2 linked regions of the Tribolium castaneum genome follow. The protein of the gene in region 2 interacts with the protein of the main gene of each other region in a pairwise test. Links are inferred from orthologs where the notes say so. Each region holds a gene or a part of one and is shown on either strand. Other genes may lie near its edges.

Region 1 (4,024 bases), on a different chromosome or scaffold from region 2:
ATTGCATGAGTATAAAAGCACATTTTGTTCTTGAAAATTTGTTAAACTGTACCGAGTGACTAAATAAATGAAATAAAAATAAAATAAAAAGACTTTATTTCCTTAGAATTTTTCACACTCTTTAGCCTGGAACTCTCAATTTTCTTATTTTCTTTAAAATGAGCCAAGAAAACAGTAAATTTGTTTACAATGGTAAGATTTTACTAAATCGGTCCGAAAATCTCTAAATTGCCTTAGAAAAAAAATTACATTATTTTTGCTTTATTCATGTTTTAGCATTTAGCACTACTATCAGCAGGAAACGCAGTTACTTAATTTCGTTAAAAACAAGCTGAAAATTTACCAGATTTAACTTAAATTGGTGTGTCTTGGATTTTTTGCATGTTTAGATAAATTTTTCGCTCAAAGTGGTTAAGAAATTGAAATTTTGATGGAGATAGATGTGATTTTTTTGTTTTACTGGATTTCCACTGAAATACGTGGATTTCGAACGATTTATTGTTTAAATAGTTGCTTTGAAATACCTCAAATATCTTTATTTTTATTGAAAACGACGGTTTTTGCATTAGTTTTTTTTTAATAGTTACATTTCCTTACTAAAACCCAGAGAAATTGCTCAATTGTTCAAATCACCTTACTTTAGTCTAACCGACGATTTTTGTTGATATAAGTTGATTTGTTGAACCAGAGAACACTTTTTTTTTGCAAAATATTGTCTAAAAATTACAGAAAATATCTAAATTCATTATATTTTGCTTGTTTTACTTGATTTTAAAAATTTTAAAAGTTTAACTTTTTTTTAAATGGTCTTAATTTTATTTTTTTTTGAGCCTTAAGGCATGATCTTAAATCTTAAATTTGGGTTTTTTGCGGAGATTTCACCTACTAAAACCTTCGGAAAAATCATCAAATAATATTATTTTTCGAACGTTTTAGTTCGATTTTATCATAAGCACGATTCTCGCGGAAAGTTTTGTTAAAAACGAGGAGAAAAATCAGCAAATTACGTCAAAAAAGTGTAATTTTTTCCTTGTCAATGTTGTAATTATATACTTAAAAAATAAAATACTCAGCTGAACACGTACCGTTCATTTATTAAATTAATAAAGGTAAAATAGGCCAAAAAACCACATATTTATCGAAAAATGAAATTATTTTTGCCTTTTTTGATTATTTACCGAATCAAAAGCCAATAAATAAAGTCGAAAATGTCAATTTTTCTATTTCCTTACAATATTCAAGCAAAACCTCAATTATTTCCTCTGAAATAAACAGCAAATCATTTTATAATGGTTAAGATTTCACCGGTCGAAAAAGCACTAAATTATATTGAAAATTAGATTATTTTTTCTTGTTTATTAGCAAAAAATCCAATTTTTTTTAATCATTCGTTTAGCTGTAATAACAAAGTTTAATTTTTTTAAATGAGAATCATAGTTGGCTATGACATTTTCGAAAAGCTTATTTTTTTCTGAACTCAAAACAATATAAATACAGTTTGATATTTTTAATATTTTTGATAAAAAATATATTTAAAATATTTGAAAGTAATTGGCCATGGAAAAATTATTTCACATAAAAGGTGTGAATAATCTAGAAATTTTGTGAACGGTTATTAAAGTAAAAAATGTGAAATTATAAAAATAAGCTAAGTTAAAGTTATTTTCAATTGAACAAATACGAGCGTCGCAGATTTTAATTACATGAAAATGTGCAGAAAATTGCAAACGATGTGTCACTACCATTTGATGACACTTTTTTATGATTTAATGAAGTTCAATGGAGGTGACGTTGGTAATGTTATGTATTTTTTACCGCAGATGGAATTTGATTTTGTTGTTTGGGTTGACATTTTTTTTGTAAAATAAAGTTTTATTGATACGCAATTTTACAATTAATAAGATTTTTCTTCTTCCGACATTTCATGTTTAAAACTGGAAAATAGAATGACAACGTAAGCTTGCCATTTTAAATATAAAAACAAATATTTTTTATTAAATGCACAAATTTGATCTAATAATAATTTATTATGCTGTTTTTGAATTAATTAGGGTTTAAAACATCATTAAATTATAAATACTTGTTGTGTAATACAATTTTCATAGTTTTAATTAAAAATCCAAAAAAATTTCATGGCCTACTATAAAGAAAAAGCGAAATGTTTTGTTTTTTCTTAAATATTTAAAATTAATGTATTACACAAATAGACATATCAAATCAGAAAAAAATAGGCTTTTCGAAAATGTCATAGCCAACTATGATTCCTATTTAAACAAATACAACTTTATGTTATTACAGTTAACCGAATGGTTGAAAAAAATCGCTTATAACATTATTAGATTCTCTGAAAAAAGTGCCTCTATAATGTCTTTGTTTCAAATGTGTATCTTTTATAATAAGGAAGATATGATTTTTTTTAAGATTTCGCTAAAATGTCAACTTCTGTTTATAAGTCGAAAACAAAAGACGATAGCGAGATGAGGTTTTGACCAAAATTATTTAACTTCTTAATTTCGAAGATCCCGTATTCGGACATTCAAAATGCAGCACCCTGTACTTAAAGCAAACGAATTATAGAGGTTTCACTGTATTTCAAATGAATTTTTATAAATATGTTCAATTGCAATCTCAATCTCATATTTCACATTTCTTTCACTTGTATTTTTTACTATATTAAAGGTTGAACTGTCAGCTGTCAACCGACCCCAAGGACAACAACCACAAGGTCACCGACTACTTTCCGGTGCGCCGTTCGGTTCGCAAAACGAAAAAGACGGTCATGGAAGAAAAACAAAGAACTTTAGAGGAGTTGTTACGAAACGGCGTTGAAGAAGGTCTCGAGGTCAGGATTTTCTCGGACAAAGGTCGCGGTGTGGTCACTTCGCGCCCTTTCACCAAAGGCGATTTCGTAGTTGAATACAGTGGCGACCTCATCGACATTAACGAAGCGAAAAGACGCGAATTGAAATACGCCCAAGATTTAAATACTGGGTGTTACATGTATTATTTTAAACATAACAATCAACAGTATTGGTAATTTGAAATAATTGCAATTAATTGTGTTTTAATTGTGATTTTTCAGTGTGGATGCGACCGCCGAAAGTGGTAAGTTGGGGAGATTGGTGAACCATTCGCGGAACGGTAATCTCATCACCAGGACCGTAGCGGTGGATAATAAGCCCCGGCTTGTACTTATTGCAAAGGATGATATCAAGGCCGGCGATGAGATTACTTACGATTACGGTGACAGATCGAAAGAATCGCTAAAGCATCATCCGTGGTTAGCCTATTAATTTATTTGTTTTTTTATTTATTATTTTTTCCTTTTTTTGTAATTGTCGGAAACGTGTAGAAAGGCACAGTTTGTTTTAAAGTGGTCACTGCCTTTTTTATCTTATTTTTTTGTGAATGTACTTGGATAGAAGCAACGGTTGACTAAAGATTAGATAATAAAAGATTTGTTTTGTGAGGAGTTTGCAATATAGCATCCTGTGGTCCTTGTCCTTGAAATTGGGGGGCAATTTCCCAACTATGAACCCCACGTTGGGCGCCTATTTAATCGCACGGTTGTTGTTTCAGAACGTTGCCAATGCAAAATGGAGGTGGTGGCACGTCGGGCGCCATTTTTTAGCTTGTTTGTAAGTTTACTGGGGTTTATTTTAAACGGCAATGCGTTGTTTTCGAAAAATGCGTGTACTCAACGTTGGGCGCCATTTTTTACTTGTTACATTTCTGTTTTGTCTAATCATGGACGAGTACAGGTAATTCCAAGTTGTACCATCTCCCAAAAAATAAATACCTTTCGTATTGGAGAACAATTTTTCCAGCGCAAGTGCGCAAGTGATAAAGTTTTAAAAGCGCTGTACTACACATCCATATTAGGAAATTATAAATGCGTTCTAATTCTCTAGGTTTTTGCAGTTTTATTGAATATCTTAGATTAGTTGTAGCATTATAATTAAAAAAAAATCGCGTATTAAATTTGAAAGTTCACCTACACTTTGTTACTTAGAAGCTTATGAGG
Region 2 (3,057 bases):
GAACAGTAAAGGTTAAGAAGTGATAATTCCCTAGTAAATCACTGGCAACACGAGAATACAGCGCCTCTGGTGCTGAAGTGCGTTACTACCACGGTAAAGCGCCACGTTTGAATAAATTCCTTTTATATTCTGTTTTTTATTATTTTTATCTTACAAGTTTTATTGCAAATTGTTTAAAATAAAAAAAAATATTTTCATTTTAAACGAAATGAAAACATTTTATATTTATTTTAAACAAAATTTGCAATGAAACTTACAAAAAAAGTTGTTTTGGGGTAATAAAACACAGATTTTGTTAACATTTTTATTGTACACTTGAGTAACATAACAAATTAAATTTTTCAAAAAATTAAAGTATTGTATTATTTCTTAATTATACAAAAATTATCAAAAAATTAAATCAGTTAGTGTTGGCATGTTTTGCCTGTCTGCTCCAGACTTAAAACAAAATAAGGCCTTCTTTGCAATGACTTTTACCTTGTCTGTCAGCAAACAGTTGCCCACGCTACGACCACGAGGAGGTACATGCAGTGCACTGACACACTCGAGCGCAAATAAGAAACTTAAAAGTAAATTCTGAAATACCCTAAATCGAGAAAACGCCAAAATTTTGAACTTACAGGATCCTCAATTTTGCAGGCATTCCTCCACAATTCGTGAAGCTTTAGATTCTTAGGGAAGGTGAAGAAATGCTTGTTGGCATGTCCTTTGTTGGGAACATAACCACTGGTGCATCCGGGGTATTTGCAGGAATATTTGCGATAACCAGCCATGACTAAAGTTCGCTTGAGTAGTAGAAATCAAAAATCCGTCACTCCAGCCCAGAGACCAATGCCTTTAAAATAGAAAGAAACACCAATCAAAAAGATGAGGTTATATTAACAAAACAAGAGATACTTATCTTTTTGGTCGGCGCTCAACACCAGGAATTGACTCACTAACGAACTGTAATCAGAATTTTTGCTTTGATTAAACGATGAAACAAATAATTGCTACATACTTCCGGTAACACGTTGAACGATGAGTGACAAAACAACACTTTTGGCGCGATATTTTCGGCGCGATCTTTTTAGCGATCTGCGCGCAAGCGTAGATGTCATTGTTACGTCAAAAAATATAATTTAATGAAATCCCTAATAAATACGCGCTTGTTTTAAAATAAGCAGTCGTCATTGGTCGTCCCTTTTCATCTCCCCGGGAGTGCAAAACCCCCCTGGCCTATACTCTCGTGTTGCCAATGCGCGTATCCCACTTTCACCCCCATGACGACAACCACACAAAACAATTAGCCCCAAATTCAAACCCCCGTATTCCAGCTTTTTTATTTAACTAAAATAAGCCAATATAGGAGTATTACAGGACGCAAAACTTGTGTCACAACAAGTAACTATATTTAAAATAAATTTAGCACAATTACGTGGATTATTCACAATTTCTTGAAAGTCATGTGATCGGTATCAGCCAATCACGTTGCCTCAGCAGATCCACATTGACGAATTTGAAAATCCCCAAGAAATTGGCGCGCATTTACTGCAGTTTCCCTCGCATTTCCAGGAAGTTGTCGGCTCACTTGGTGCACTGCCCTTTGTGTTAATTCAGTTCTGTGTCGTTATTTTCTGTGTTAACCGGCAAAATGTTCGAAGCACGTTTGACGGCGAGTGCCACCTTCAAGAAAATCCTGGATGCCATCAAGGACCTTCTCAATGAAGCCTCCTTTGACTGCTCCGAGTCGGGGATCCAGCTCCAGGCCATGGACAATTCCCACGTCTCTCTGGTGTCCCTTATGTTGCGATCCGATGGTTTCGATAAATACAGATGCGACCGCAACTTAACAATGGGCATGAATCTGGCTAAGTAAGTAGCAAGCTTAAGCACCAATTGTCTTATTCATAATTTTTTCAACAGTATGGCAAAGATATTCAAATGTGCGAACAACGAAGACACGGTCACGATCAAGGCCCAGGACGATGCCGACATAGTCACCTTCATGTTCGAAGCCAAAAAGCAGGAGAAAATCTCCGATTACGAAATGAAACTCATGAATTTGGACCAGGAGCATCTGGGGATTCCTGAGACGGATTTCTCCTGCGTTATTCGCATGCCTTCTGGCGAGTTTGCCAGGATATGCAAGGATTTGGCCCAGTTTGGGGAATCCATCATGATTTCGTGCACGAAAGAAGGAGTTAAATTCTCCACTGGCGGCGATATTGGAACTGCGAACGTGAAAATCGCTCAAACTAACAACTTTGAGAAGGAAGAGGAGTCGGTAACGATCGAAATGCAGGAACCTGTGAGCCTAACTTTCGCCTGCCAGTATTTGAATTCCTTCACGAAAGCTACTCCTCTGGCGTCTCAGGTCCAGTTGTCCATGTCTGACAACGTCCCACTCGTGGTCGAGTACCAGATCCCCGATCTTGGACACCTTAGGTTTTACTTAGCTCCCAAAATTGAAGAGGATGAAAACTAGACTATTTAATTTGAGTCCAATATTCACGTTCTTACTCATTTGTTCACGTTCTGTATTTTTTAAACTAAAATAAAGTGCTACTTTTAATAATTTATTTTTTACAATTTACAACTACGAAACACCAAACTATTAATAATTTTTCTCCCATTCCTCGCGCTCTTCTCTCTCTTTGACCACTTGTTGTACGATTGGGGTCAGGTAAAGGCGGTCTTCTTCCAGTTTAGTCCATTGGTCTTTGGGGAGAATGTCTTTCTGGATTGACAATTGAACGGCTCGAAGGATGCGGTAATTGCGGGCGTCTACTTCTTGCTGTGGCAGTCTGCGAAGTGCTTCCTTTACATCGGCGGTTTCGTCCAAACAGTCGTCTCTCATGAGCCCCAATTTATTGAACCCGGAGATGCTGTACGCCCATTTTTGGAGCGCGCTGCTCATGAAACGTCTCTGAACGAACCCCAAAGACATGATGAGGACAACTAACAATGATAGTAATGAACAGAAATACAAAAAACGTTTTAAAAACAGTACTCGGCTATTAGGTAACAAGTCCTTTTTTATCAAACGTCAATTGAAAACAGTGACTTTCGTTTTGT

The links.
Region 1: the proteins of PCNA (region 2) and Set8 interact in a two-hybrid assay, tested with the Caenorhabditis elegans proteins (2 studies listed by BioGRID). The link is inferred for Tribolium castaneum from reciprocal best matches to the Caenorhabditis elegans genes pcn-1 and set-1.

The regions. Positions count from the first base shown.
Region 1 is NC_087401.1:9,678,983-9,683,006, reverse strand, and holds the end of Set8 (histone-lysine N-methyltransferase Set8), read left to right. Parts: intron 1-2,679; coding exon 2,680-3,033; intron 3,034-3,082; coding exon 3,083-3,293; 3' UTR 3,294-3,469; downstream 3,470-4,024. UniProt on the Caenorhabditis elegans protein: Histone methyltransferase that specifically monomethylates 'Lys-20' of histone H4 (H4K20me1). H4K20me1 is enriched on hermaphrodite X chromosomes and during mitosis. Involved in dosage compensation by repression of X-linked gene expression in hermaphrodites.
Region 2 is NC_087396.1:13,479,236-13,482,292, reverse strand, and holds PCNA (proliferating cell nuclear antigen), read left to right. Parts: upstream 1-1,509; 5' UTR 1,510-1,633; coding exon 1,634-1,854; intron 1,855-1,905; coding exon 1,906-2,467; 3' UTR 2,468-2,557; downstream 2,558-3,057. Other genes in the region: cytochrome b-c1 complex subunit 7, read right to left, coding at 2,597-2,929. UniProt on the Caenorhabditis elegans protein: This protein is an auxiliary protein of DNA polymerase delta and is involved in the control of eukaryotic DNA replication by increasing the polymerase's processibility during elongation of the leading strand.